Linked DNA regions of Oreochromis niloticus. The protein of the gene in region 4 purifies or fractionates together with the protein of the main gene of each other region. This does not show direct contact. Links are inferred from orthologs where the notes say so. Each region holds a gene or a part of one and is shown on either strand. Other genes may lie near its edges. The genes, in order: hells, parp1, xpc and wdr76.

Region 1 (7,819 bases), on a different chromosome or scaffold from region 4:
CTGAACACTGAGTTGCATATATAAAATACAATGTTCGTTTCATAATAAAGGCGACTGGATTCAGTTTGAAACAAACTCTGGATAAGAAGAAGTCACAACACGATGGTCATTGTGTGTGTCGCTGGATGCACATAAATTGTAAGGAATTCCACTTGCTGTCCTGAAATAACCTGTAGCCTGAACCCCTGGAGCATCAGTTAATATTAGCTGAGCTGAAGCATTTGAACCCTAAAACATGTCATTTTAAATACTCGGCAAAGAAAAGAACACTGAGGCCTTTCTGATCAGACTTTGCAATATCTGCAGACTCAACTGTGGTTCAGCTGTCCCTCTGGAGGGGGGGGCGAGAAAAATCCAAGATAATATACACTCTCAGTCAAAGGTTTGGACACACTTTCTCATTAAATGTTTTTTCTTTATTTTCATGACTATTTACATTGTAGATTCTCACTGAAGGCATCAAAACTATGAATGAACACAGATGGAATTATGTAAACAGAAAAGTGTGAAATACCTCAACATGTTTCATATTGTAGATTGTTCCAAATATCCACCTTTTGCTTTGATTATTGCTTTTCACACTCTGGGCATTCTCTCCATGAGCTTCATGAGGTCGTCACCTGAAATGGTTTTCCAACAGTCTTGAAGGAGTTCTCACAGATGCTGAGCACTTGTTGGTCCTTTTGCCTTCACTCTGCGGTCCATCTCATCCCAAACCATCTCCATTGGGTTTAGGTCAGGTGACTGGAGGCCAGGACTCATCAGACCAAAGCACAGATTTCCACTGGTCTAATGTCCACTCCTTGTGTTTCTTGGCCCAAACAAATCTCTTCTGCTAGTTGCTTTTCCTTAGTCGTGGTTTTATGGTCAAATAGCTTAGCAGCTATTTGCTATTAGTGTTTGATGGGTATTGCAACTGCACTTGGGGACACATTCAGAGTTTTAGCAATTTTTAGGACTGACTGACCTTCAGTTAAAGTCATGATGGACTGTTGTTTCTCTTTACTTAGCTGATTGAATCTCTCAACCTGTCAGTTGTTTACCAACCTGACTTCTGCACAACATAACTGATGATCCCAACTCCATTAAGAAGGCAAGAAATTCCACAAATGAACCCTGACAGGCACACCTGTGAAGTGAAACCATGTCAGGTGACTACATCAGGAAGTTCATTGGGAGAAGGCAAAGGGTTTGCAGCGCTGTCAACAAAGCAAAGTGTGGCTACTTTCAGGAATCTAAAATATAAAACATATTTCTATCTATTTAGTTATTTATCCATTTTTTCTTTGATACATAATTCCATGTATCTTGCTTCATATAGCTGATTTCGTCAGTATGTATCTACAATGTACAAAGTAGTAAAAATAAAGAAAAAGAAGGTGTTGTCCAAACTTTTGACTGCTAGTTTACATGAAGAGGGAAATAGCTGGATTTCAAAAGCACAATGGGAATGAACAAAATATAATCCAGATGAAAGAATAAGATAAATGGAAGAAAAATGAACAAAAGTAACCAAGGTTAAAAACAAGAAAATGAGAAAAGGATAATTACAGTAGTAGGAGATAAAAACTTAAAATGGTTCTCTAAATTCTCAGAATTGAGTCTGCTGATTTCTGTAAATCTCTGAAAGTTTAGTTCAGGTCTAAATCCTGCAGCAATGCAGATTAAAGCCTCTAGTCACAAACTGTCAGACCTTCAAGGACCAAAGTTCATTTATCAGCTGCTTATTTACACAGGAGCAGTGTCACCAGGTATAATTATATGTAATGGCTAAACATGTTTTAATTAAACGCCTATATTTGCAGCCGCCACTGATAGATGAAGTGAATTATGTTTGGGATTTAGTTGCTGTGTTCATCCAGGAATCTTTGTATGCTGCGATTTTGTGTGAATGTTAAACATAAGATAACCTTTATTATTAGTCCCACACGTGGGAAATTTGTTTTGTCACAGCAGGAAGTGGACAGTGCAAAAGTTATGAAGCAAAAATTAGAATACAATAAGAATAAATATAGTACACAACTGTACAGAATAGAATAAAATAAAATAAAATACTATATACAGTAGAATAAAATATACAATAAGATAAAAATAGAATACAAATGCTATATACAACTGAGTAAAAATACAACGATGCCAGAAAGGAGTATTGCACATTAGTGTTATTGCACATGTGTGGATGTGTGTGTTTGATCAGTTGAAGTCTTTGTTGTGAAGTCTGACAGCAGTGGGGAGGAAAGACCTGCGAAATCTCTCCGTCCCACACCGTGGGTGCCGCAGTCTCCCACTGAAGGAGCTGCTCAGTGCTGTCACAGTCTCCTGCATGGGGTGGGAGATGTTGTCCAACAGGGATGACAGCTTAGCCGCCATTCTCCTGTCACTCACCACCTCCACTGGGTCCAGAGGGCATCGTAGAACAGAGCTGGCCCTTCGGATCAGCCTGTTCAGTCTCTTCCTGTCCCCAGCAGAGATGCTGCCGCCCCAGCAGACCACACCATAAAAAATGGCAGAGGCCACCACAGAGTCATAGAAGGTCTTCAGGAGTGGGCCCTCCACTCCAAACGACCTGAGTCTCCGCAGCAGGTACAGCCTGCTCTGCCCTTTCCTGTAGAGGGCGTCTGAGTTATGAGTCCAGTCCAGTTTGTTGTTCAGATGAACACCAAGGTACCTGTAGCTGTCCACAGCCTCAATGTCCATACCTTGGATGTTCAGTGGTTGCAGTGGAGGATGTTTGTGCCTGCGAAAGTCTACCACCAGCTCCTTGGTTTTACTGGCATTGATCTGGAGGTAGTTCAGCTGGCACCAGTCCACAAAGTCTTGGGTCAGTCCTCTGTACTCCTTGTCGTCCCCATCAGTGATAAGGCCGACTATTGGAGAGTCATCAGAGAACTTCTGCAGGAAGCACTGGGTGGAGTTGTGGGAGAAGTCTGCAGTGCAGATGGTGAAGAGGAACGGAGCCAGAACCGTTCCCTGTGGGGCCCCCGTACTGCAGACGACCCTGTCCGACACACAGCCCTGAGTCCTCACATACTGTGGTCGGTCGGTGAGGTAGTCCAGTATCCATGCTGTGAGGTGATGGTCCACTCCAGAGTTCTCCAGCTTGTCCTTCAGAACTGAGGGAAGAATGGTGTTGAAAGCTACTGTCCACTTCAGTATGGCTGCAAAACAACACAGCCTGGGGTAGCTGAATATTTACACGTGGACTGCTGTTTTATACCGAGCTCATCAATAATGAGTATATATTACATGGTTGTGTCACTTATCTGAAGTCTGCAGCATGAATTAGTCAGAGACATAACTTTCATGCTCTTAACCATTAATAAAAAGGTGCTGGTCATACAAACAGTTGAGGGCTGTTCAGAATTATAACTATTTGCATTGCAGTGAGTATAAATGAGTATAAATCATATCATGTCCTGACATGATTCACACCTACTGGCTAAAGAAAGCACAAATGAACCAGCTGCTAATGTATGACACACACCTTGAATGGCTAACTGAAGGGCCAATCCTGATTCTTGAAGTCACTGGTTTCATACAACTATTCAATTTTTAAATTCAATTTTATTTATATAGTGACAAGTCACAGTAACAGTTGCCTCAAGGTGGTTTCTATTGTAAGGTTAGGACCCTACAATCAGACGACCCAGGTGAGCAAGTGCTTTTCCTTGGAAGGGAAAAAAAAATCCCTTTTAAAAGGAAGAAACCTCCAGCAGAACCAGGCGTAGGGAGGCCTGGTTTTGGATGTCAGGCAACCATAGCGGCTTCAACAGGTTGTGGAGGATATTTTTGCAAACCATTCCATTTGCAAAAGAATAGCTAAAACACTATGAAGATACTTCACTACACAATGTATTATGGACAGGTTGTATCCAAAATAAACAGTTATTCTGCAGAAAATATTTCCCATCATTACTGTTGAAGGCTTCTATTTAATCCTGAGTCTGAGGGATTAAAACTATTAATAAAAAACAGCTGGTGCCAGCAAACAAGCAACCGTCTAGTTTCCCGACTGAGAGAGAGGTTTTTTTTTTGTCATTTGCTCACTGCACAGCCTTACATTCGCGGGAAAAATCACATCAGTTATAAAACATCTTTCCACTCAGAGGGGTGACCATCCTCTTAAAATAGTTTTGTCTATACATACGATATTCTGTAATGTATAAATCAGACAACCTTTTAATTATTAGTTAATTAATTACAATTTTTTTTTGCTACGTTTCGATTAATGTGAACCAAAATGTTATTATCTTCTACCTTAAATCACACACCACCCCGTTTCACAAATAGTGGTTTCCTCCGAAATGGCGCGAAATTGGAAAGCTCCGCCCATTATAAAAATCTTAGCTTCAGGACTGTAGAGACAAATGGCGGAAACTAGATGAATTTGCCTTCAAAATAAAATACAATCGTAACTTCAACGTAGCTTTTTCGCGGACGCACTTTTTGTTTGAAAGGCTGCTGTCGGAAGTACATTTCATATTTCTGTCTGCTTAATAAAAAACACGTTATTCGGGCTGCAGAGTACTCACGTCAAACTCTTTTCGTTGAATGTTTTTTCACGTTTTAGAGAAAGGAACATTTTCGGACATACTGCTCCGACATTGCACAGCTATCATAAATACAAGCAGTCAGCTAGGCTAGGTAGAGTGAGTTGTATGACTGTTTGGATAACTTGCTTGTGTAATTGACGAAGCTCTGCTGTTTTGAGCAGAAACGGAACGCTTTGAAAAGCTTCACAGAAAGCTCGAAGAACCCGCATAATTTGGACTGTCTGCATCGCTGCCAACAACGATGAGTTGGTAAGTGTAATGGTCGCTTCACTCACCGCAGCTACCGCGTTTCACAGAAACTTTTATTTACGGTGCAGGAAGTCGCTGCAGTACGGCTCTGAACGATATGCGTCGGTAGGTGTCGCCCCTCAGACACTAAGCGTTTTTTAGGAGAATGCAAGACCGGAAGCCAAGACTTTGTCCAGTGTCCCCCCCCCCCAAAAAAAACCCACTAAAGTTTTCACCTACGCCAACATCTCCTTCTGTATATGTGTATGTCTCTGAGCTGCTGTGCTGGAATATCATTAAATCCGACACGATCGTACACTCGCGCCAGTAACAAAACTCGAGAGGTACGCGACACATGTGTGACGCGTGGAGCATACGTGCACTGTAATAACTCGGCTCAAAGACCTGTACAGGTGAACGCAAAGGCGGCAGTATGCCCGCTGTAATACTGCAGCCCTGAGTCTCCTCGTTCCTAACATAATAGTTACAATTTCCGATAAAGTATCATTTTCTTCTCTGTAAAGCTTCGATGCACGTTTACTGTTACCAAGGCCACCGTGTGTTGGACAAATGCACCCTTACAACTCCCACCCAGAGAAAAAATAAATAAATAGCATACATCCCTTTTCTGCAGCGATCTGGAAGATTTTTTTTATCACCATTAATTAACCAGAAGTTATAACAACAACTTGCAATATTCTGAGTCACAGATGTTCACCGATTATCACGTTTCAGACAGCACAGAAAAACTGTCTGAAACTGCATCCTGTATGGTAAAGTATAGTATCTACATTAGCTTAGCACCAAAGTTATATGCAGAGTATTGAAATACTCGTGTTGTATTTCATCCCTTCAAATCAAATGTATCATTTCACCTCGGTTACAGGGCCTAGGAAGGGTCTAAATGGTGTTTACTCACCTCTGAAAAATGGCAGGAAAAGTTTTACTGAGTAGATTTCATTTTTCTGCTGATAGCCTAAAAGAAGAAACTCGAAGTGTCTCCCCTCACTGCCCCAAACCTGACGAGTCTGAGGAGCCGCTGGGCACAGCCATTGAAACTGGTGCTACTGAAGGTAAGTTCCATTTTTGACCTACAGAGCTGCAAAGCAAGCTGAGATAGAGCCAGTTTGATGAGGCATGTGCTTTGCTGTCATGTTGCTTAATTCTCAGGTGACACTGATGAGATGTGGCCAGTTCATTAGGAACAGGGCTCCATATCACATGCTCATTAACTAGTAAAGGCTAATTATCTTACACTTGTGTTACTGAAAAGATGCTGTGCACATAGACTTGTTCAGGTCGTGTCACTGTCAGTGTTGTTGTTGTTTTTTAAGATGAGAGTATGAAGTCTGAGGGAATAACACCTGAAGTGGTGATTACTAAGGAAATGGAGGAAGAAGAGAAGAAGCTAATGGAGCAAGGCGAGAGGAAAGAGAAGGAGATGATGAAAAAGGTATGTCGTTTAATTTCTCAACGTGGGAGTTGTATTTTTTAAACTATCCAAAACTGGCATATTTTATCAGATTAAATGTTGAAATTAATAACTTCTCATTATTAAACTCATTAGTTTTAAAACATTAGTAAAAGTAAAACATTAGTTTTAGTTGGGTTGTTTGTGTGGGTGCGATGCTGGTACAGATTTTAGGGAGTAAAAAGCGTATAGATGTGTGTCTGTAGCTCACCGGTCCACAAGATCAGGGAGTTCATGTGATGATGAGCCACAATTGAGATGTTTCTACATCACTGATGTGCTGGACGCTTTCGAGCCCACTCATGTTAATGTAATTGCTTTCAACCTTTCCCATAAGGCCAGGGAGTCTTGGGAGAGGGACTCGCATGACATGCGGTTCAAGAGGCTCCAGCATTTGCTTCAGAAGAGCAACATCTATTCAAAGTTTCTGCTGACAAAAATGGAGCAACAACAGAATGAGGTATGGTGTAAAATTTGGACCGTACAGACTTTTTGCACCTGTTCACTCAAGGCTAACACGTCACTTCTGCTCTGCTAATGACCATCTCAGGAGAGACTCAGGAAGGAGAAACTTGAGAAGAAAGCCAAGAAGGTGATAGATTTATTGAAAAAGTCATCATTTACAGTTACAATCATGTTTCCAGCCATACTCACGGCAGTTTGTTTCCTTTTAGAAGCAAAATGCCAACGGTGCAGAAGCTGACAGAGGTGAGCCAGTATTCTAATATTTAAACTTACAGTATGGAGCTCAGATGTCAGTTGTTTAGTAGCATTTACACTCTATGCACACTTTATTAGGTACACCTTGCTAGTACTGGGACCCTGTTGTGCTTTCTGTCATAATTCTAGCATAGGTGTTGGAAACAGTCCATACTGGCATTTTACCATCATACAGTTTGCAGATTTGATGGCTGCATATCCACAAAGCAGCTCTCCTGGTCCACCACAACCCAAAGATTGGATTGAGATCTGGTGACTGTGGAGACGATCTGAGTACAGTAAACTTCTGTCATGCTGGAGAAACTGATCTGAGATTTGTGGCATGGCACTTTAATCACACTGTGGGTACACTGTGTTCATAAAGGCGTGAATGTGGTCATCCACAATACTCAGGCTGTGCAGTTTAAACGATGTACAGTGGGGACAAAGGGATGTGTCAAGAAGATGGCCCCACCTCTGCTACATCACCACAACCAACCTAAACCATTAATAGAAGTGAGGATGGGGCCTTCATGTATTTCTATGCCAGATCCCAACCGTACCATTCAAATGTGGCAGCAGACATTGAGACTTAGCAGACCAACAATGCTTCTCCAGTCTTGTCTTGTGTTGTGTCATTTTGGTGAGCCCATGCAAATTGTAGTCTCAGTTTCCCGTTCTTGGTGGGCAAGAAGTGTGTTAATTGCTGCTGCTTCAAGGTTTGACATGCTGGCCTGGTTCTTTTGCATACTTTAGTGAAATAGGGGGTTATTTTTTGGGTTTTTTGGACCTTTCTTTTTAAACCTTTGAGATGGTTGTGAGGTAAAATCCCAGTAGATCTGCATTATTTAGCCGTTCCACATTCAAA
Region 2 (7,967 bases), on a different chromosome or scaffold from region 4:
CGCCATCTTCATGCCATTCCGATACCAGGTCCTGATGACGCCTCGCAACGCTGTGCTGGTGATCCTCGCCACATGGATTCTGGCGTTTCTCATCGGACTTGTGCCTCTGATGGGCTGGCACAAGACGCCGCCTGACACGGGCTACTGTTTCTTTGTCCTTGTGGTGGACATGACCTACATGGTCTACTTCAATTTCTTCGCTTGTGTGCTCACTCCTCTGGTGATCATGTTCCTCATCTACGCCCAAATCTTTGTCACGGTTAAGCGGCAAGTGCGGCGCATCACATCTGAGCAAAGCGGCAGAGGTGACGGACAAATCAGGACCGCGGCCAGCATGCGACGAGAGATGAAGACGGCTACTTCTCTCTTTCTGGTTCTTTTCCTCTTTACGGTCTGCTGGATCCCACTTCACATAATCAACTGCTTCCTGCTTCTCTGTCCACGCTGCTATGTACCTCTTGAGCTTCTGCTCACAGCCATCATCCTGTCACACGCAAACTCTGCTGTCAACCCTTTCCTTTATGCCTACACCATGACGGCTTTCAGGGACACATTTAAAGCTATTTTTATGTGCTGCAGGACAGTGGTGGACAGAGAGGCTTTAAATGAGACCAACAGTGGGGATCAACGCTAGACCTGATCATAACTTTAATCCCAGGCTTCAAACCGAATAAATCATTTTGGCTCACCCCTCAGATTTGACAGCAGGGAGCCTCTTCTTGAGCTCTTCTTTGTCCTCTGCCCGCAGTGCATTGAATCCCTTCAGCTGAGCGGCGCTGTACTCGGGCTTGAAAACCAGCTCCTCCCTGCGGCTCACGAAACACGCCGTGTGGTACCAGCGGTCAATAAGACCCAGCTGTGGCTTCTCGGGGTCCACAGTTTTCTTGGACACACGAATCTGATCCTGGTGGTTCAAATGGATCAAATATTTATGGGAAAATGACAAAGTTAAGCCACCAGATAATTAAATAATTACATTTAAACAGCAGTTTTCAGACAATAAAAGCGGTCCCAAACCTTTTCTATTTTCTGCTCACAGCCTTTGCATGTGCTGCGGTTTGACTTGGCATATTCCACAGCAAAGTCATTCAGCGTCTTCTCGCCTTTAGCGCCACCCTTCTGGTCACCTTTCCCTACAAGATCAAAAATTGAACATTTATATCTTTTTATAGCTGGTTCAGTTATATGTAATAAAACATATATCATGATGAGTCTACAGATGTATAGATATATGTATAGGTTAAATCTGAGTTATGTCAGACCAACTACAATTGAAATGGCTGTCAGTTGTTTTCATTCAAATGACTGACAGACTCAGTGTTCAGCTCTAAATAAGCCTACCAAAGCTTCACCTATAGTCTAGTCATCAGGAAACCATTTAAAATATATAATACAGGGTTTGATTTTCTTTCCAAAGTCAACTGCTATAAATTCTTGTGACTGAGCAGGTAATTATGTTATCCTCTCAGGATAAGGGCATTTACACTAAAGAATGAAATTACTTTATGATTTTTCTTTGCTGCTGCACTGATTGATTCTTTGATGAGGCAATGTTTAACTGCTGCTTAGTAACACTGTTACTCCTTCGATTGCCTATAATAACTAAAGGAAGCTTAAGATAACATTAATTAAGTCGACCAACCATTTCCACGAGGGGTCACAGCCTAATAAAACTTAAGTACTGACCTCCTGCGGCGCCACCGCTTTCAATGGCCTTTTTCACCTTCTGTTGGTCATCCCAGCGGAGATCAGAAAACCCAGCGATATCAGCGGTGGACTGAGCTGATGCTCGCTGCCAGAAGCAGGAGAAGTGGTGCCAGTGGGGGACCTTCCCATCAAACATGGGAGACTGGAGAACAAAAAACAAACACAGATGTTTTATTTTACAGTGTAAAGTGTCTCTAATTGCTTCTTCCAGCTCGATGGTTATATGATGCCTGAGAAGGGTAATATTTTCCTGCCAGACTTATTTAATCATCTCTTTTCTTTACCAATGCCATGTTATGTGTAGGGCATTCAATCCATTTATTGCATGACACAAAGATACTTTGGAACTAACTCTTAAGTTAAATCCAGGTTGTGCAAAATTTTGACAAACAGCCCATGGCTTTGAGACATTTTTTATGGACATCAGTATTAAAAAAAATAAGATGTAAACATGCTGTTTTCTAGCAATGACAGTCCCTGGGCAGGTAACAAAAAAGAAAGCATGTATAGCTATGAAAATTGAATAAATATTGTATATTTAGGACATAGCACATTTTTTAAGGTTCATATACAAAGATTAAAAAAAAAAATCTTTTACTAAGGCATACTTTATACAAGGTGTAAACTAAAGTGGCTCAAGAATAGAGCCCTGTGTGACCCCTACATTCTTAAAAAAAAGGTGCATTAAGTGCTCAAAAAGTACTTTACACTCTGCTGATTTGTATGAATTACACAGACTGAATGTGACAGGTCTTTAGAGAGAAAAGTTGAGTGACCTGAGAATCTGGAGCTGTTCCATCAACCATGAGTAAACAGGCAGCCACATAAGCAGCTCTCCGACTCTTTAAGTGATTACCTCTCTGTGGGGCAGCAGCAGTTTCCACGCAGTGGTATTTCTGCTTCTGTGTGCTGTGATTTTTTTCCTATTATTTGTCTTCTGGGATAGACAAACTCTGAATATCTGCAGCCTTCAAGCATAAATTAAATTAGCTCATGAACTGCAAGATGCATAATAGCCAGACAGAGACAAAAAGGCTCCGCGGCTCTTTGTGATGGACAGGAGTGCACAGACAATGTCAGCCATTTAAATGCTAACGAGGGCCTGATTCGGCGCAACTCAAACCACACCATAAGCTATATTTTCCTACTCTCCAGTCTGCTCCTACCCATCCACTACACCCGTACAACAGCCCGCATGCTTTACGCAGATAGCAGCACCCAGATAGCAAGCTAGTTAACGGAGCAGCTTTGCCTCCACACGTCGCCACCTTACCTGCACCATGATAGCCATCCTCAGCGAGTCTTTAGCTATGTTTTCTTTGCATTTTTTGCACGACGCGCGGCCACTTTTGGCGTATTCCACCCTGTACAGCTTGTCCTCTTGTGAGTCTGCCATAGTTGATTTATTTCTTAATACTAAAACAGAACTACGCAAATTCACCACGAGCCGAACAACTTTCTTCGGGTGACGAGGAACCGCAACAATCAACGCACTGGCGGAGAGAAGCCCGCGTGCCTGCAGAGAGAAGAGTCACGTGGAGAGTTCTCACTCTGTCTCTGTTTCCCACCGCACCAGCGGCTCTCTCATCTGGGAAAACTACAGCTCTAAACTCGCAATCTCAATCTCATTCTTCCTGAGTGAGATATGAGCGAGTGAAGGTGACATGTATGCTGAATATCCATATGTCTTAAAGTGAGATTTTAAGGATTTAAAGACATGGAAATTTGGAGTTTAGCCTCTGGAGTAGAGCCTGTGATGCATAGTGTGCTACATGTGCTGCAGATAATATCCGTAATAAAGAGGCTATATCATTTCTTTTTTTATCACTGTGTATGCATACAAAATGTTTGCCCTGTGTCACATTAAGGCCTTTACTCCGGACCTGTGGTACCGCACCTGTGTACTGTGGTACAATGATGTTTTCATTGTTTCCATGCATTTTTTAAATCCTTTATCCTACAGTAATGTCCCTTTTGGCATTAATAAAGTACCTACCTACACTAAAGACCAGAACTGAATTAAGATCTAAAGGAAAATAATTCAAAACTTTATCAAAATTACACAAAATCCATTAACACATACCTTAAACATTAAATTACTAAAATATGCAACTGAATTGTGTAAAAATAAAGACAACAGCAACAACAAAACAACAACAACAACAAAACCTTTACAGCTCTGCTTAGATTTGCATCTTGACTTAAGAAACACATAAATTCTCTTCAGTACTATACAAAATCCAACAGATACATGAAAAACACTGTGACTATTAACATTATTATGATTAATATATTGTATTATTATGTTTATTATATGATTATTATGATTATATGATTATATTACTGTTATGCTTAAGGCTTTTATAAAGGCTTTTTATAGACCATATATTTATATTTGATTAATTTTAGACAAAAATAGGAAAATAAATATATTTCTGTCCTGTGACAACAGTGAAACAGCATTCAGAGAGATGATATTTTAATTTAGCTTTTAACTAACGCTTATTTATTTAATGCTTATTTATTCTATCCTGTTATTCTATTTATATTATTCATTTAGTTTTACCTAATACCTATTGATTGTATTCTTATTCATTTTTTATCTTCTTACTCTGTTTATACTTATATTTATATTATATCCCACTCTTATTTATTTTATCTTTTTATCCTGTTTATATTCTTATTAGGTCATATCTCCAGTGTTTCCTCGGAGGGGGGTTCTCTGCACCGGGGCTGTGATCGACCGTGGCTGCTGGGGCCCTGTGGGTCCTCTGAACCTGGCTGGGGGGCTTCTTTGCCTCCCTCCTGCTGTGTGCCCAGCCTGGAGGCTACGGTCTGTGACCGGCTCCCGGTGCAGACAGCTCCCTGTGATAGTGTTTCCTCACTTGGCTAATACGTACCCAGCCCAATTTTACTCTTTAGGTGTGTGTGTGTGTATGTGTGTGTGTGTGTGGGGGGGGGATGTGTGTATCATGACCGCTTCTGTTAATGACAGTGCGGGGAATGAGTGGGAGGGTGGGGTGGGCTGCTTTTAACCATGTAAAGCACTTTGTGCTACAGTTTGTATGAAAAGTGCTTTATAAATAAAGATTGTAATTGTAATTGTAATTGTAATTATTACAGAACTTTAATTGAAAAATGTAATGGAAAATAAACCAGTATGTGATTACAGTCTACAGTGTTTGTCAGGAAACCTTTGTTTATGTCTAGGAAAGGAGTATTAGACACTACTGTAGATGAGCTAACTTCTGTAGAGATTATGTTTATTCTTTTCGAGCTTTCTGTAAACCTTCCGGGTGAACCATCTTTCAAAATAGAGCATCAGTGAGCCGGCTGCAGAAGACCCGCGCTGGCTGCAGACAGAACTAATGGAGTCAAGAGCAATCGTCGTGACTCTCAAGAAAGGAAGACACACCTCCAAGAAGAATACACCTTCAAAAAAAGAGTTTAATAAGAGTATCGTGTCATTAATAATTAATAATACAGAGTTAAAAAATTAAAAGCACCCAGCTTTATGGTAATAATTGATTTTATTAGTAGAAACTGGACTGGTTTGAATGTTTTTGTAAAAATTATATTAAAAAAATGAAGTAAAAAGTTTTGCTGATACAGACGTACTATTCGCTGTGAACATTTCTATACTGTAGCAATAATTAAACATGTCTTTGTTATCTATTTAAAAACTGCACAAAGTCCCATAGAGGAGCTTAACATTAATATTTGAAGTTAAAAGACAAACAAAATAAAGACTGACGTGAATTTGTGTCAGTTTGAATCAGACCTGCAATGTAAAACATTCCTACATCACGATTTGTTTGATTTTAATAAATGATCAAGGTAAATAGAAAAAAGAAAAGAAAAAAGAAAGTACACCATTTTACATATCTGGACATAATCACTCTGGTTCTTAGTTAGGACCGAAACTTCAGTTGAACAACAAAATAACATCAACATATGACATATTACACTGTGTCGTCCACAAAAACTAAGCCAAAGTGCAGAAGCAGAGTGTGAAAAACTAAGTGCACTCTTACTGTTTCCATAGGAATTAACAGAGTAAGTAGCAGACAGGTCTTGCTAATTAAATGCACTTGATTAATTGATTGTCAGTGAGTATGAGCACCTATATAGAAGTAGAACTTTTGGCAGTTTGATGGTCTGCTGCATTCAGTTGTGTGTTAACACAATGACAAGGAGTAAAGCAAAGGCTGCCTATCAGTCTGGGAAGGTTTATAAAGAAACTTCCAAACAATTTGATGTCCATCATTCTATAGTGAGAAAGCTTATTCTCACTATTATATTATATATCTCACTATTATAATATCTTTTGCTACAATGCACAGCATCATATTTGGTGAAAACATAGCATATCAGCACATGCACCTCATACTAGCTCTCAAGCACGGTGGTGGAATTGTAATACTTTGGGCTTGTTTTGCAGCAACAGGACCTTGCAGTCATTCCTATGTATTCCTAAGTATTCTAGAGTCACATGGGAAAAATTGTAATTGAGTCATTGAACAGGAAAATGATCCCAAGCACAGAAACAAATCTACAACAGAATGGTTGAAAAAGAACAGAATCAAGGTGTTGCAATGGCCTGGTCAAAGACCAGACCTTAACTGACTGAAATACTGAAAGAGAGCTGTGCATAAATGATTGCCTGCAAACAATATTACAAAGGCTGGCTGGCCAGTTTATTAGGGCCTAAATATGGGACTCTCCACCAGTTGATCGTAGAAATGAAGAAGCTTCACGGATGAGAGGTGAAACTTAAAGGAGTCCACTCGCTTTTCTTTCCAAGCCCCTTGGATTACCATGACCTGGATGACTGAGGACCTTCACATAGATAAAGTTTTACAGAAAACATTTACATCAAGTTATTGCTGCTAAATGTGGTTCTACAAGCTATGGAGGTGGACTTAGTGTACCTAGTCTTTCACACATTGCTTCTACATGTGGTGTTATTCATCTGAGGTTGTATTTCAATGCATTTAAGATCTTGTAAGGATGAAATGATTTTTTTTAGGTCCTAACACAAAGAACCTTAGTACTGACAGAGGTTGTGCTTTCCTTTTTACCATGACAGTAAGAGGAATACAGTGATATGTAAGGTGTTTTTGGCATTAAAACTGTTTCAGTGTTCATCTTCTGAATCTCATAAATCCAGAACAACACTGACTCTGACAAGATAGAAAACAAGAAATACTGGCTCAGTGGAAACTATGCAAATACAGTATTTACAAAAGTAAACCGAGCAGCAATCACTTTATAAATAAAGGGATTTTTTTCTTTTTGGATTATGTTGCATGAGTGAATTATAGTGACCAAAATCTCTTTAACATATTTGAAATTATTGGATATAAAGAAGAAATAATGCTTGACTTCACAACATAAATGTACTAATTAAGATAATACAAACAAACAAACAAACAAACAAACAAACAAACAAACAAACAAACAAACAAACATCATTCTATATTGGCCATTTGTAGTCTAGGAGAATTTGTACTAAGAGGTAGTGTTTTGCTTGGAGGTCTGGAGTCTTGCTGATGTGTTATCCCAGCAAACATAAAGACATGTTGATTTTTTCTTTCTTTCTTTTTCTTTTTACAAAACAACCTTCAAATCAGTGCTTATAGTGTATAGATATGGCAATAATAGTGATGAAAAAGCACTTTGCACTGCTTACAACATACTTGTGAAACGTAAGAGGCCAGAACTTTGATTAGATAGCTCAGTTAGCTCCTAACCAACTAAAGTTCAGACCACATACCACTCGGTGTGTCATGCAAGATGAATGTTTTGGTCCAGAAGTCAAGAAATAGAAATATGAGCATGGATGATTTCCCATAAATTCCTATTAACTTGTCCAAAATTTTCTTGAGATGCCAAAAAAGATGGGTATGATGCAGTCTTGGAAGAAACAAGGCTTAAACAGGATTGGGCTCCTGCCACAGGTAGCTCAGTATTTTGTCTGTGAAGCTAATTCAGTTATGGCAAAGCATTAAAGGAATATGGCTCCAGTGTGTCCTGGCCTACGTGCAGCCATTTGACCCTGACAGTCCCCTCAGCGCTGCAGTCTGGAGGGAGTCCGATTGAACCTCCTGTTGCCTTCTCTCATCTTCTCCTTGTGTCTGGCCTGGACGAGACTGAACACCACCTCTGCCAGCGTCATGCGTCCTCCTGTCTGCCCTGCCAGGCGGCCATCTGTCCCATCGTTGGCCATCTTACCGCGCACGGTCCTGATGAAGTAGGTG
Region 3 (7,457 bases), on a different chromosome or scaffold from region 4:
GCGACCCATTCTTCCACAAATGTTTATACAAGCAGTCTGCATGCTTAGGTGCTTGATTTTATGCACCTGTGGCCATGGGAGAGACTGGAACACCTGAATTCAATGATTTGGATGTGTGAGTGAATATTTTTGGCAAAATGGTTTATTTTTTAATAGAAGGCTTTAAAAAATGTGTTCTATACATTAAACTGCAGCAGTTATCCAAATGTGACTGTTGTAATTATACCGCAGTGTCTTCTTAAAGGAAAAGCAACAAACTGTCAGTACCTTGGCTGATGGGGCTTTGAAAGGAATCGGCTGCAAAGAAAGGACCAATCGGCAGAAGAGCTGCAGAGAGCGTAGGACCAAGAGAAACAGCTGCAGGAAACACAGGCGCATAATTATTTATTTTTCAGTTGTACGTCCAACTAGGGGGACTGTTTTATAGAAAATGGACCGGTTTCATGCCAAACTACTAACGTGAGTCATCTCCTCGTGATTTCTGGCTGAGAGGCTTGCCAGTCGCCTCTCGAGGAGCCTCTGGGGGTCCGGACGTTCTTCACAGTGAAGACTGGAGTTGAGGGTAAATGTTGCTCTAAACCTGGGAAAGAAGAGAGCCGGATGGACGGAAATGGAATCATAAGATATGGTGCTAATTATACAAGGCTACCAGTGACTGATGGCTTCTGAATAGTAGCTCTATTGTCCCTACTGTGAAAATTTCTCAGTTTTACACATTCTGGCATTAAAATAATTTCAGGAACTTCACATTTATAAGTACATACCATTTAAGAAGCCCAGAGAGGTAGTTTTGGTCAATGCGGTCCTTAGCTACCATGGTAAAGTGGGCAGGCAGCAGCGACAGAGTGATGGCCAGCAGGTCTGGTTCACTGCACAACCTGTTGCGGAACATGCCGCTGGCAATCAGGCACATGAGGTGGACCTAAGAGACCAATCAAAGGTTAGGAAAGCCAGGGATGAGCTAGTGAAGAAAGGTAGAACTGAAGAGCGTGTTTTCACCTTGTGGGTGTCTATCAGCAGGTCCTTCTTATATCGGTTCACCATTCGCCTCAGATACGTCTCAAGCTCCGCCTGCTTTTTTCGCCTGGCCAATCAGAAATCATGATTATTGGCTTAAAACAAATATACCATTAACTGCACACCCATAGATAACGCATTTTCCACAAGCTAATCACATAAACGCACAATTACAGGTCCCCTCTCCTGACACCTGTGGAGAAAATTCATACTAATGTACATTTGAATGAGACTCCGGGACCCAAAAATGTTTTCCTGAATATAATGAGAGGGTCGGGAGTTTGGAGACATCAGCTAACAATGTCTGGAGCTACATTCAGATTGATTTTGTTTAAATAAAACCAAACTAAACTCAGAGCTTGAACACAATGAAACTAAAGAAAAGCCTTAATTTAAATTATGCTAGTGATTCCTGAGTTTTAATAATGAGGTTTATTTATTTTGATTGACTTTTGGATGTCTTCCTGTGTTCGTTTCATTTTACACAGATTAACACCTCAACTGTTTAAGAAATAATATCACAAAAAAGTCTGTTTTGCAACTCTTTTTTAAAGAACTATTTTATTTTCAAAACTTTAGAATTTCATGTTGAGCATGTGCATATTCTATACTCTATATTCACTTACCTCTTTCTGACTTCTGGGGTCTCGATCTCAATCTCTACAGGCTCAGAGGGCAGGACGGGTTCTAGAGGCTCGAGTGGACCCAGCGGCTCAGCTAGCTCTGATTACACACACACACAATTCATTTCCTTTGTTTTCAATTGCTCCCTGCTTGGCATAAGGATAAAAAACAAAACAAAACAAACAAAACACATGGAATGCGTAATCATAAATATTACCGATCTTACACTTACCTTCCACTTCCTCCCAATCATCCTCATCTTCCTCCTCACTGTCCTCCCCTACTCCTTCTTCTTCTTTCTCTGGTTTCTTGGTGTTCACCTTAAGCAGCCGTGGTGGGGAGGTCACCATATCAAAGTCATCTTCGCTATCATTCTCCTCCATAATGGGTGACTCAAAGTATTTGCTGGTATTGACAGCAGAGCCGGTGTCAGATTGGGAAGACAACTTATTTCCTGCTGCTCGCTTTGAGGGGACACGTGGCTTAGGGATGACCTTCCTCTCTATCTTTTCCTCTTTATCTGTGATGTCCTCACCTGGTAAAACAGATGGAAAGATGTTTTGAAGCTGCTGTGCTTGACTGAGAATAAAGGAAAACACTTCAATACAAAACAGAAGTACAACCACCCTAAAAATGCATTATATTATGAGCCAATTTTCTGAATGGAGATGTTTTTCTTTCTTTTTTTGCTACAGAAAATTGACAAAAGTGTCTTAATTATCTGGAGAATCATTTTTGTGTTACTGTAGGAGGTGAAACAGCATTGTTTATCTGAATAAAAACCACAGTTTATGAATGATTTACCGCAAAGCATGAAGGGAAGTTAACACACACACTTACACCATCTATGCACAAAATATGGTTGGTGTTTTGTTATGTGGAGCACAGATGTGCATCCGGGCCAGTAGATCCACTTCAGCAACCATGCACATCTTTCAGCAGTGCACCTGGATGCTCATACGGTGCCTTTATGGTGATGGCTATAATAGCTCGATATGATGCATTCTCCCCAATAAACTGAAGCTTTGTATTTATCTGTGACATAAATTATATTCATGTCACGCTATAACTGCACAAAAAGCAGTCAGAGGGAATGGATGACAGAGGATGTGTTTTACATGTCCACTATTTTATAATATTGTGAAGCAGTATTTTTCATTTACTACGGCTGATGCTGATGTTAGTCATCTGTGTGAAACTCTTCCTCAGATGAACGTGTGCAAGTTTATTCATGAACCCAGGCTCACTGTGCACAGACCGCTTAGCTAACCTCCCCTGTACTTCAGTTAGTTTGCTAACTATTGGGGGCTAGCGGTTTCATTTATTAAATGACAGACACACATTTTAGGCAACTCCGACTTTTCATACCAGCATCTTTCTTCTTCGCTCTTGTTTTTGCCCCGCTGCTCTTCGCTTTCAGCACCTGCTTCAGTTTCTTTGTGTCGCCCCCCGTGTTTGCGCACTCTCTTCTCCTCGCCATGCTAGCTGCCGTCAGTGGAAAAACTTTCGTTGAATAATAATATCCAGAGCTAGAAGAGCAGTAGTCCGTCAGAGCTCCACATGCTGTTGTATAAGGGCGAGGAAACAACAGTTACCTAACACTGCCATTCAGGAGTTTTCATAACACAAGAAACTACACCCGGTTGTTTTGGAGGCCGGACCATGACGTCATATCCGCTCTCCTGTCCTCTTCTTCTTCTTCACTAAATAGACCCAATTCAGCTCCCTATAATTACAAGCTAACACCTGGGTATTTTTAAGTAGGCTGACACCAACATTTGTTTATAAATGGCTTTATGGTCTAATATATATATATATATATAGGTGTAATACCACTTTTGGGCGCTAAGGGGTGGTGTTGTGCTTTCCATAAGGTTTTCAACCTCGACAAAGGTCAGCTCCACATGCTCCTGATAGTTAGGTTTCATATTCATACTCGTTTTTAACAGCCAGTGATCTCTTTTAGGTTATATAATGAAGCATTTAGCCAGAAGCATGTTCAGTGAGTTCAACAGTAGAAAACTACAGTAGAGACACAATATCAGAAGAACCTCTAGCTACTGTACATGTTTGATGTGATTTAGTGGTAACTAAGCATGTTTGCTGTTACATGAGTGAAAGGGCTGATGTTCAGTGTTATCAAACAGGCTGTAACTGAGCATGCGGTGTCATCAGTGGAAGTCAGTGGTTGTGCTGAGAATGAGAGCGAGAGGTTGAAAAATGAAAAACACTGTTATCCACTGTCTAATGCAAACCACCCTGAGCTCCACTCAATAAAAGCAGCCAAATATGATTCATGAGAACTTTTTAAATGGTCTTCCCTTGATAAATGGATTTTTTTTCACCACAGACCCCAGTATGCCCGGAAGCATGTGTTGAGACGAAGCAACAACTGGAAAGAAAACAGAAAAAAGCCAGTCACGAATTTGGATTGGACTTTAATACATTGCTGAACAGATTCTGCATGATCACCAGGGACATGAGACCATTAAAAGGCCCGTTCAGCTGTCTGTCAAAATCACCTTGTTTGCAAAGAAAAAACAATCCTTGGCAGAAAGATACAGAAATAAGAAGCAGAAAAGCTGGTGTCATGTCATGTGATGCAGAAGCAAACACAACAGACTCAAAGCTCTGTGTATTGCTCCACTGTGTCACTCCAAGACTGAATTAATTGTACATCAGTCCAAATAATACTTATTACCACTGTTTTTAGGGGTTGATCCAATTCAGTATATCCCCAAATACTATTTCCCACCTTATCCTGTGCTATTCTAGGTATTGTGAACAGGGATTTCCTCACAGTTATTTTCTAAAACTTTACACAAGCAGATATCAGTGTTTTTTTGGGAGGTGGTTTTTTTTGGTCATCTGTGTGTCAACCGTGTCACTGCCTTCCACCGAGCGCGATGCTGTTTTTTGGGGGGATTTTTCATTTTCATTTTCATTTTCCCACTGGAACCCTGAAAAAGACTTAAGTGGGTAAATGATGATGCCTGAGCGCATTCTTCATCTTGTTATTTTGCGCCGGGGTCTGCGTGACACACCAAACAAGTTCTGCCTCTTGGTTCTGAATCAATTCAGCTCATTTCAGTTCAATTTAATTTTCATTCAGCCCTGTTGTGATCTGTATCGATCACATTGAGGTTCTGTGGCAGATGTGTGTGTGTTTCACTTCAGAGAGCCATCTGTCAGCTGATACAGTCAGACAGCTTCAGACTGACTCACTGCAGTAAGAGCCTCCTGAAACCAGGGGGCCCTTTCCATAGGTACTGCATACACCATACATATGCATACATACTGCATGCATACGCATAAATGAATGCGCGTTTATGTGTGGAGCGCGTGTGCGTCCATACTTCTGTTAGTTGCTTTGCCTTGACCATTATGTGGATGCGTGCATGCATATGTGAGCATGCAGGCTAGGCTAAGAGTGTGCTTATACATATAGTCCTTAGCATGTGGATGGGTGAGGTGACATGGCAGGAGTCCATGGTCGTGTGCGCTTTGCTCCCAGCGCAGTGCATGGCTTCCATCCCTATATGAACCATAAGTACAGTCAGATAGGAATAAAAAGCCATACAATGCACGGGGCATTGAAAGGACTGAGTTCTATGAGCAAGGACACACACACACACTCACAAACACGCATGGAGTCGGATGATAGATGGAAAGAGATTCAATTGAAACTCCCTTGGGCGAGAAAAACTCGAAAAAGGATAAGAGCAGGTGAAGGACACAGAAACCAAGAGAGAAAAACGAGCTTATAGGAGATGACTCTGCACGGCACTCCAGGTATGCTGAAGATACAGTGTCACACCGAGACTAATCAGAAAACAGCCTGCAAGTCAGATGGGGAGTACATGAAGCCTTGTCAAAGGCAAGTGTTGGTGAGGTGTGGCAACAGGTTTGACATCCACAATGCAAGGACACGGGCTATTTTATGCCCACGTTGTTGTCTCCACGGCAGCTGGATCTGTATTGATGATGATCAGCGCGAGCTGTCCCAGTGTATGGTGTAGAAGATTTTTATAACAATATAAATAGCAGTAGTAAACACCATGTTCGAAAGCAAAGACCTTGTTTTTGGATACTGAGTAACCACACAGGGTCTTTGCTTTACCTTACCCTGTATGTATCCATATATATGTATATATCACAAGGACATCTGTTTCACCCCTTAAAGCTTTCCCAAAGGCAATTCATGTGAATTTGCAACACAAGTACAGGAAAATGTTTGAAAATTTTTACAATGCATGTTCATTTGAATTTTTTTTTTCTTTGATTAAATGAGGCAGTTACCTTCTTGTTAACATATATAGGTTTAAAAACATAAAAAATCAACATCGATAATAGATTTTGGTTGTTTGGTGCTAAAGTCTTACGTAATTGGAGCATACGTTCTCCATATCATCTCTCTTCACGCGCTCTAATCTGTGCTGCTTCTTACATGTGGATTTTTTTTTGAGTAAGTTATAAAGGGGGCAGATTTTCCTCCAGTGAGCACCTGTTGTCCACTTGGACACTCTTGGTTTTAAAGCAGCTTGGTACTTTTTAAGTCCACTTAACACAATGTATTACTTGATAGTTTTTGAATCCCCCACTTTTTCTACCATATATGGCCATTTCTGGATTATCCCCATAAACAAATGTCTGCTAACACATGTAAGACTGAGATCTGTCTCAATAACAGACATATTTCTACAGTGGAGTTTATGTTTTAATGCTGAAATATCTGCTGTCCTCCTAAGCCCCAGGAAGGATTTAGCAAAAGGATTGAGAATTTGGCAAGAAACTGTATTAAAATTAGAATCCCTCCTTCTCCCTCTTAAAAAAATCCCTACAAGTCTGGAGTAGGTATGTTATTATTGATTTCTAAAGAAATAAAGCCCCAGAAACCATTCCTCTTGTGCCTTAAGAGGCTTCGCAACTTCAAGGAGCGGATATGAAATAAATCCAATTACCGAGCTGTCAATCAGGCCGCTAATTAGTACGACTCCAGCACACTAAGTGGTATCAAAGCTGGAAACTCAAAATAGAGGCGACAAGAGGGAGAGACACACACACACAAACACAAATTCACAAAACGGGCAATTCTTAGCTGAAAACATAACTACCGCAAATAAACCCCACATCTCAGACGCTTTCTCATACAACCTCCAGACAAGCTGCTGCTATTTCTGGATCGCCACAGACGAGCAACAGCAGCTTGAGGGAGGAGGAGGAGGAGGAGAAAGGGGAAGGTGGGGGGGTAGAAGAAGATGAAGAAGCGAGCATCCGTGCATCCGAGCCGGGACCCTGCAGGTTCTTCTTCTGACTCAGTACCCGCATTCCCTGTGTCCTCTCGGGCTGCTGCTGCTGCTGTGGCGTCTTCTGAGCTCTGATTCGAGCAAACAGTGTCCGGCTTCAAACAGGTGGGCTCCGGGGTCGCGCTTGGGCTTCTCTTCGAGGGCCTGAAGAATTGTCCAAAAGAATAGTTGTTCCCTGCTCCCGTCCTCTCGTCCTCAAAGAGATAGGGTCAGTGATGCTGCCGCTGCCACCGGTGGATATGTGGAGTTTGACCGCCCCTTTACGCATCTGTGCGTATTTTCATTCAGCGGCAGAGGCAAACAGACGGAGAGAGAGCAGGGAGAGAGAGAGAGAGTGAGAGAGAAGGGAGGGAGGGAGGTGTGGTGGAAAAGGACAGTAGTAGGAGGAGGGGGTGAGGTAACAAAAGCCCACAAGTGAGGAGGAGCTAACAAAAAAAAAAGAGGGATTGTGGGGGGAAAGCGAGGAGGAGGCATCATCATACCTGAACAGGAGACCTCCCTCTGTTTATG
Region 4 (8,149 bases):
TCCTTTATAATCTTTTGATTTTCGCATCTTTTAGACCTGCTCAGTCATTAAAGGCAGTCATGTCAAAAGGACAGGTCCTTATCCTGAGTTTGTAGACTGGAGGATGAAGGGCGACTTTGTGACTCCTGTGAAGGACCAGGTATCCTCATACGTTCTATAGCTCTTAAAGCCTTTATAGCCATATTCTCCTTTTGTTAAGGAAATATCGTGCAAAGTACAATATTTACAAAGTCGTACAAAGTCTGTATTTTTTGTGCTTTCTTTGAGTTGCATTGAAGCACAAAAGTGCTTGCATTGAAGTGTTTAATCTCCAGAAATATTTTGCTAAACCTTAAAAATGTACCACCTTTCTGAACAAATACACAGTGTCAATTTTTTTTAAGATGTAATGAAAGGAGAGGAAAAAACTGTGACTCTCATTTACTTGTAAAAGTGGCCACTCTTATGTTTCTGCTAGTAAGTTATAATATTTACCCTTTTTTTCACTTTCATTTTTACAGTTATATTCTATGAGAAACATGTGGCGGGACACGTTTCATGACTAAACTGATCAGTGAGAAACAAATACAACATAAAGAATATGTTTTCTACATGTGCAATTTTTTTTAAACAACATACCTCAGTCACAGCCTCTGAGAGAATATATTCTATAATATATTATATTATTAAATATTCTAAATAGAGAGTTTCATTTACAGATGGTTTCTTCAGTTTTCATTTACATTTTACAGCACCAAAAATTATCGTGGTAAGCATTTATATATTTGTGCCTCTTTAACATAACTGAATTATCAGTTGTTTGAGTTGTGTTTGTATCTTTAGGGTTTTTGTGGCAGCTGTTGGACCTTCTCCACCACTGGCTGTCTGGAGTCAGTGAATGCTATTGCTACTGGGAAACTAATACAATTGGTAGGAGTTATTATTATACACAAATATAGCTGGCAGAAGAAAAGTATCCATTGTTTCTGAGTATATTCGATTAATGCTCTTTATTTATCTCTGTTTTAGTCTGAGCAGCAGCTGCTGGACTGTTCCAGAAATTTTAGCAACTATGGATGCTTTGGGTAGGAATCATGTTTGTTTGGCCTATAACTATAACGTGTAAGATATTTTATGTTATAGAAACAGCATAATAATATAAGTATAGAATTTCAATCAATCAAAGGCTGTGTGGTTTATTTCAGTGGGTTCCCCAGTCAGGCATTCGAGTACATCAAATACAGCAAGGGTCTCATGAGAGAGGAGGATTATCCCTACAAAGCCTTTGTATTATTTTTGAGAGTAAAATCTTTCTTTCTTTATTTTTTTACATATGATAAAATATACAATAAAAAAGTTTTATCTTTCCTGTTTTAGGAGGAAAAATGCCATTTTGAGCCTTCACTTGCAGCTGCATTTGTCCAAGATGTTGTCAATATAACAAGTGTGAGTGTGCGAACAAATAAAGTTGCACTGTGGATGAAATTGTACAATAAATGTGCTGTGTGAGTGTCTTTGCATATGCTGGTTAACAAAACAACAGATCAATACAGTAAAATGCGTTTTTGTTGTTACCCAATGGGGGGGAAAAAGTAACTGTTTTAAATAATCTGAAGCAGTTTGTCTTATATATATTGTTTAATTTTTACTATTAAAAAAGGCAACTGTTTTATAGTAAATAGGGAACTCCTCATACATCGACCTACTCAGGTATATGTTATAATTTGTGTGTGCCCATTCACAGTATGATGAAAAGGCCATGGTTGATGCAGTGGCCCGGCTCAATCCTATCACCTCCTGCTTTGACGTCACAGCTGAATTTAAGCACTACAAAGAAGGTGTTTACTCCAGGTGAGATCAACAAGCACTCATGCATTTACTACTATTCAAGAAGTAGAGCTGGTCTGGGATTTTAAGAGCAGACCAGAATATACTAGCCTCACTTTGTTTCTGTTACTTACACACTAATTTAGACAGACAAACAACATATTTTTACTATTTGGATAAAATCCTTTGCAAAGAAGTATAAAACATTTTTTTTAAGCCTCTGAAAACTACAAATGGGGGACTGTGTATAAAGAAGTATCTCTATGATGACTGTCATACACAGTGTTGGGGAGTAACGGAATACATGTACCGCCGTTACGTATTCAGAATACAAAATATGAGTAACTGTATTCCGTTACAGTTACCGTTTAAAAAGGTGGTATTCAGAATACAGTTACTTTGTTGAAATAAATGGAATACACGGCGGTACTTCCCTGTTTCATATTGTCGCGGGTCAGGATTGTTTGGGTTTGTTTGACAGCTACGTTCTGTTGTTCCAGGCGGCAGCGTTACGGTTGCCATGGTTACAGGGTGACGCGCTCTCTCTCTGCGTGTTTCCTGGGTGAGAGAGCGCTTTTTTGTTGTTGTTGTTGTGCTAAGCTAAAAGGCAGAATGCTACAGGCATAGCTCTAAAGCATGTAGCCTGATGGGCAGTGTAGTCCGTGCGGCAGGGAGAATGGACTACCATACCCGTTATGTGTCTGTGAGCGAGGGAGGGAGAGAAAGGAAAAGTCCGAGCTGTCACGGAGCAAAAACGGGAGCTGGAAGCATGTAAATATAATAATAACCACTGCAGCCAAGAAGAGTGCCTGAGGAGCCCATTTGTAAGTAAGCTATTAAGACTCAACTGTACACTGTGTTCGTGTTTTCCTCCGGAAAAAATAAGTTCCGTTGGAGAAGCCTTTCAACGCCTCTCTCTGTCTCCCGCAAGCAAAGTTGACCCAGACAACAAAGTAAAGCTAGTTTTCGGCTACCAGCCCGACACGAACCCGACGTATTAGCCAGAGGTCCCTTTACTACGTTTCGGAGCCGCGGACCTTCAGTAACAGTAATAAATCACAGCAATAGGACATTCATGTAGTTGTAAACAGCATGATAATATATTAAGTACTCCAAAGTATTCAGAATACGTTACTCTCATTGAGTAACGTAACGGAATACGTTACAGAATACATTTTGGGGCATGTATTCAGTATTCTGTAGTGGAATACATTTTAAAAGTAACCTTCCCAACACTGGTCATACACCACATATTTTGCAAATGTAGGATGTAATATAATATTGAAAGAGACAATCTGCCCACTCAACCTTCAAAAGACATGTGCTCTATTGATCTAGTGTTGTCTATTTAGCACCCAGTGTAAGAACACAACAGACAAAGTGAATCATGCAGTCCTGGCGGTGGGGTATGGCACCGAGAAGAACGGCGTGCCGTATTGGATTGTGAAGAACTCTTGGGGCACAGCCTGGGGAAAGGATGGGTAAATATAGTCTGTGTGTATCTGAGCTTTATGACTTGTAACAGCTTGCAAGAATTCCTGATATCTCTCCTTTTTATTTCATCAGATATTTTTTGATCGAGCGTGGAAAAAACATGTGTGGACTGGCTGCCTGCTCTTCTTACCCTCTACCTTAAGCATCTAAATAAAAGGGCAACAAAGTGGAAACTCTTGAGCATGTGTGTATCGAAATGTATTTTATTCAGCCTAAAGGCCTGATCTCAACTTACGGTTTCTAACATGTTTTCTGGAAGTTTAATTTCTAAACACCTTATTATGTTTTTCTTAAAACTGAGACATGAAAATTTTGAGTCAAATGCAAGAAAAGAAAAATTCAATCATTACTTTAAGACACAAACTCATTTTAATAATTACATTTTGGGGAAAGGAAGCATATGCTTTACATTAATACAGATGTACAGTACTTCTTTCTAACTATTCTTGTGCACTTAGCTATACTGCATCTCGACTAGTATGTATCATCATGTTTGCACAGGTTTATTACATTAAAACACCTTTTCCCCATTCAGTCTGTCTCACAATAATAGATGAAGACGTTTCAGTGTAGCTATGTGCATGTGTATTATAAAATGCATAGGTAAGTGTAGCACAGAACTATTTTTCTGTTTTTCCACAAGCCTAAAAAAATGTGATAAAAAACATAATTGTGTGGATGTGTATGTTTTTCCAAGTGATCTTGCGATGTTTACAAAATTCATTTTAAATAGTGTGTTTCAACATGGTCTAAGCAGTGCTTGTGCGTAAAACCTCATCACTAATGTCTATCAAGAGGCTACAGTGGGTGCATACATAGATTAATTACTGACTAATAATCATAGTATGGTATATCATACTTTAATAACTGCTTTAGTGAAAAACAGATTTTTCTAACATGACCTATAGTGCTCCATGGAAACAATATAGGCCACATATTTCAACTCAAGACCCTGGGGCCAAAGGCAGGCCTTTGCAAATTACATGCCAAACTAAACAAATAAAGATTACATGTTGATTTTACAGCAGCATTTATTTTTATGCACCATTGTTGATTATAGAACATTTGTTGAGAACTTTATGTGGCCCAAAATCAGGACATGAATTAATCATATTTTAGGTTTTTGATTATCTGTTTAATCTATTTCTTTGCAAATAAAAAAAGTTAATGTAATGTGTGTTTCTCTCATATATAAAGATTTTCTGTTTTATCCACTGACAAACGTTGGCAGTTTGTTTGTTAAACGTTAACCAATAGCATTTGTGAATAAATAACCATGACTTTCCTGTCACTGCTATTCCCCTATCCTGCCATAAGATGGCGACATCATCCCAGCAGAAGCTGTGGCCAGCTTGGCTGTTGGCGGGAGGGACCTAAACCTTTCTTCTCGTGACGTAAAAATATAAACCAATCAGGTGCCAGTATTCTGTTTCACAACAGAAGGGGAGGACCAGTTACAAAACATATGCAGCATGTGGCGCCAATTGCGCCCCCCATGTAATTATCGTGACCGTAATAGTTGTCACTTGAGAGGTGTTCACGTCTCGCTTCTCTCAAACAAATACTCGTATCTGTCATTGTAAATGAACTAAAATGGCGACTCTCCGAACAAAGCGCGAAGCTCTTGTGCTTGTGAAGGTACAGTAGTCTTGTTTTGATGTGGTTTCCTGTTTTTAAACTTATCCTCCCTGTTTTAGGCAGCTGCCTCATAGCATTAGCATCAAGAAGCACAGTTTTAAGTGGAGGTGTGTTGTGAGTTCGCTAAATCTTCGGTGAGAAAGTTGAATGAGTGCCTTAATGTCTCTGAGTAAATTGTTAACGAGGGACACCTTGCAGGAAATGACCCCTGAGAATCTCGAGGCGACAGTGCGACGATCATCTAGAAACGGTCTTGCACCTAAACGCCTCCAGTACTCTCCCGAGGAAGAAACTCCCAAGAAAAAAAGGGTGAGAGCTCGTTCACAGTGATGGGACCGAACAGTCATTTTAAAACTGGACGATTTGTTAAATCTGTCGTAATTTCTTGATAGAAAACAAAAGCTGTCGCTGAAAATGGCAGTCAGAATAAGAAACCAAAGGATGAGGAGGATGCTGAAAACAATGACGTGGAGCATGCACCTGTGAGTACAGAAACTTTACACAGTTTGAATTCGACTTTGTGACTGACAGAAACATGTTTTTATAGGTGTCTGTGCAGGTTCTCAGTCATCCAGCTCATGGTAGTTTAAGGAACTTCTAATGACTTGAAATCGGCAATTTTCTTGCAGTGTGTCAGTGCTGTATCTTTGTGTAACAGGAAGAGTATGGGAGACTTTCTGCCTATGAACTGGAGCGCCTGGAAAACATCAGACAGAACCAAGCTTTTCTGTCTTCTATCAACTTATTCCAGGTATGTTATTGACTAAATCTGCTCTTTATCATCTGCATTGCAAATCTTTTATGGACCTAAACCTATCACTATCAGCACCATCAACATAAAGTCTAAATTCGACCAGCAACAGTTGACATGTAGACCAGCTACAAGCCATATTTACTGGTGTAATTAACCCAGGTAGACTATGAGTGAGGAATAAATCCTTATGAAAAGGACCATATCTGTGATTCTGTCATTTGTCTGGATTATCAGAGTATCAATTATTGTTTTCTTTTGTTTAAAGGCCACAGAGGAGTTCAAGCAGCTGACTCGACCAAAGCCATCGCAGAGAGGCCTCACAAGGTACAGTCGGAATAATCAGGCATCGGGATACTGTGGAAAACCACAGTGGTGCAGAAATTATGAGAACAACATGGTTTTTCCCCTCCCATGTTTTCTCTGTGGAACATCACAGTGCTCCTATAATATACTTTGTATTTGTTTTTGAGACTGAACTTTGTGAAGCTCAGGAAATAAGACTAGACTTGTCAACTCAACGTCATTAAGTACGAGAAAAAAGCAGGGCTCGCAAAATCGCTAGCCTGACGTCCCGGGGCTAGTGATATAATAGCCTGTCAGGCTATCATATAGCCCAACGGGCGGGGCTGAGATAGATTTTGGTCGCCCGACTGGAGATATCGCTAGCCCCGGGACGTCGGGCTAGCGATTTTGCGAGCCCTGAAAAAGTAACTTTTATGTTTGTGAATGTCAGGAAAAACAATTTGAATTTACCCTGACCCTGTGTCATGTTAAAATAGGAAACATATCTTTTTGGGCCTCCTGTAATGTTACATTTCTTTGATTGCAGGGCACATGCTGCTGTAAAAGAAGTCTTGCCACCTCGCAAATCACTGCGACTCCAAAAAAAAGAAGCCGAGATCCTGGAACTTCCTCCTGAACCGAGAGGGACACTTATTTATGAACAGGTACAGAAATCTGTAATGTCTCAGTTCACGCAGATCCACTGCTGCACCTTAAGTCTCTTTAGTTTTTTTTTCTCGTTCTTCCTCTCTGGGTATGTTACTCATTATAGTTGTTTACTTGCTTTCAAGTCTTCACCAGCAAAGAAGCCCTCTGGCCCTTTGCCCATGGATCCAGTGAATGTGGAAGAAGGAAGCAAGCTGCCTCCACAACTTCTTGAGCTCTGCTCTGAGGTAAGAGTCGGTTTTCTATGATATTTTCACTTTTTTCTGTACAATATTTATTTACAATGCTCACTCAGTTTAACATGTTGCCAGATCTCCAATTTTGGACTAAACAACCCCCCCGCCTTCTTTCCTACTTAAAAGTGAATACTTTATACTGCCCATATTAGCCACAAGCATAAGAACAAAATTCCTAACAAATTTCTTATGCATATCCAGTGTAGTAACTGTTCTTATTCAATTAGGAAGTCATGAAATTGCTTTTCTTTTCACAGGATGCAAAAGAAGATAAAAAGATACAGCTTGACCTGAAAGGGTAAGATTTAATATTTTTATTTGGATGTAAGATTACCGCACAGTTTACAAAAAGTGACTCTTTTGATGTACTGAGGGTCAGATGTTTTGGAAGAACCTGAGAAACAGATGAAGAAACAAGTGCACTGATGTCTGAACACAGGTACCGTTCTTCTGTGAAGAATATGAAGATAAATGAGGACAAAGTGGCCAAAGTGGTGAAGGATCGCATCTTCTCTGCAACCTTCCACCCCTGCACCAGCAGCCTGTTGCTGGCTGCGGGCGACAAGTGGGGGAAAGTGGGACTCTGGAAGTTGGTGAGTTTTCTTTGCCTTAACTATGCATTAGTTCTTGACCACTAGATGGCAGAAAGTGTCTCAACAGTAAAGCTTCATGTCAGGCTGCAAAATTCATAAGTGTTCTCCTCAGGCTAATTGGTCTGCTTCATGTTTGAATTCAGGTTTGTTTTTTGCTTTTTGTGTTTTTTTTGCTCTGAAAAGCTTTATTTAATCAAATGAATTCCAACCACTGATTTACTGCATGTGTACGTTCTTCTAGGGAGGTGACTGGGGAGATGATGGTGTGCTGCTCTTTCAGCCCCACACCCGTCCAGTGGGCTGCATGGCATTCTCCAGGTCTCATCCCACACAACTGCTGAGCCTCAGCTACGATGGATCCCTCCGCTGCATGGACGTAGAGAAGGCTGTTTTTGATGATGTAGGATACCTTCATTAGTTGAGTTCAATCTGGTTACGTTGTAATCCACGAATAAATAAGGTTGTTCATTTTCTAGGTGTATGATATTGAAGATGGCCTGAAAACGTTTGATTTCATGTCACATGACTGTTCGACACTAGTGGTCGGGAACTGGTATGGAGAGGTTGCCATTGTTGACAGGCGCACCCCAGGGTGAGATAATGACATTGTCTTAAAGTAATGAAAGTAGTACATTTTCTTTTCTTTTAAACAACTTTAATGTTGCACTCAAACATTGTCA

The links.
Region 1: the proteins of wdr76 (region 4) and hells purify together in Homo sapiens (affinity purification with mass spectrometry; 4 studies listed by BioGRID and IntAct, counting the BioPlex papers as one, with this or other methods). This does not show direct contact. The link is inferred for Oreochromis niloticus from reciprocal best matches to the Homo sapiens genes WDR76 and HELLS.
Region 2: the proteins of wdr76 (region 4) and parp1 purify together in Homo sapiens (affinity purification with mass spectrometry; 4 studies listed by BioGRID and IntAct, with this or other methods). This does not show direct contact. The link is inferred for Oreochromis niloticus from reciprocal best matches to the Homo sapiens genes WDR76 and PARP1.
Region 3: the proteins of wdr76 (region 4) and xpc purify together in Homo sapiens (affinity purification with mass spectrometry; 3 studies listed by BioGRID and IntAct, with this or other methods). This does not show direct contact. The link is inferred for Oreochromis niloticus from reciprocal best matches to the Homo sapiens genes WDR76 and XPC.

What each region holds. Positions count from the first base shown.
Region 1 is NC_031978.2:31,194,822-31,202,640, reverse strand, and holds the start of hells (lymphoid-specific helicase), read left to right. Parts: upstream 1-4,396; 5' UTR 4,397-4,794; coding exon 4,795-4,802; intron 4,803-5,412; exon of another isoform or gene 5,413-5,554; intron 5,555-5,756; coding exon 5,757-5,854; intron 5,855-6,115; coding exon 6,116-6,234; intron 6,235-6,589; coding exon 6,590-6,712; intron 6,713-6,802; coding exon 6,803-6,844; intron 6,845-6,926; coding exon 6,927-6,960; intron 6,961-7,819. UniProt on the Homo sapiens protein: Plays an essential role in normal development and survival. Involved in regulation of the expansion or survival of lymphoid cells. Required for de novo or maintenance DNA methylation. May control silencing of the imprinted CDKN1C gene through DNA methylation.
Region 2 is NC_031980.2:10,088,288-10,096,254, reverse strand, and holds the start of parp1 (poly [ADP-ribose] polymerase 1), read right to left. Parts: upstream 3,247-7,967; 5' UTR 3,104-3,246; coding exon 2,981-3,103; intron 1,850-2,980; coding exon 1,687-1,849; intron 1,134-1,686; coding exon 1,018-1,133; intron 905-1,017; coding exon 690-904; intron 684-689; exon of another isoform or gene 635-683; coding exon of another isoform or gene 1-634. Other genes in the region: adenosine receptor A1, read left to right, coding at 1-634; si:dkey-206f10.1 (adenylate cyclase type 8), read right to left, coding at 7,778-7,967. UniProt on the Homo sapiens protein: Poly-ADP-ribosyltransferase that mediates poly-ADP-ribosylation of proteins and plays a key role in DNA repair.
Region 3 is NC_031984.2:25,596,140-25,603,596, forward strand, and holds the start of xpc (DNA repair protein complementing XP-C cells), read right to left. Parts: upstream 3,327-7,457; 5' UTR 3,122-3,326; coding exon 3,010-3,121; intron 2,177-3,009; coding exon 1,874-2,176; intron 1,741-1,873; coding exon 1,644-1,740; intron 1,085-1,643; coding exon 1,000-1,084; intron 923-999; coding exon 765-922; intron 581-764; coding exon 460-580; intron 358-459; coding exon 268-357; intron 1-267. UniProt on the Homo sapiens protein: Involved in global genome nucleotide excision repair (GG-NER) by acting as damage sensing and DNA-binding factor component of the XPC complex. Has only a low DNA repair activity by itself which is stimulated by RAD23B and RAD23A.
Region 4 is NC_031965.2:28,107,201-28,115,349, reverse strand, and holds the start of wdr76 (WD repeat-containing protein 76), read left to right. Parts: upstream 1-4,735; 5' UTR 4,736-4,893; coding exon 4,894-4,938; intron 4,939-5,136; coding exon 5,137-5,247; intron 5,248-5,330; coding exon 5,331-5,420; intron 5,421-5,596; coding exon 5,597-5,689; intron 5,690-5,957; coding exon 5,958-6,016; intron 6,017-6,521; coding exon 6,522-6,639; intron 6,640-6,765; coding exon 6,766-6,867; intron 6,868-7,133; coding exon 7,134-7,174; intron 7,175-7,315; coding exon 7,316-7,469; intron 7,470-7,710; coding exon 7,711-7,869; intron 7,870-7,945; coding exon 7,946-8,061; intron 8,062-8,149. Other genes in the region: pro-cathepsin H, read left to right, coding at 35-139, 823-909, 1,009-1,064, 1,185-1,266, 1,357-1,425, 1,724-1,830, 3,159-3,287, 3,373-3,442. UniProt on the Homo sapiens protein: Specifically binds 5-hydroxymethylcytosine (5hmC), suggesting that it acts as a specific reader of 5hmC.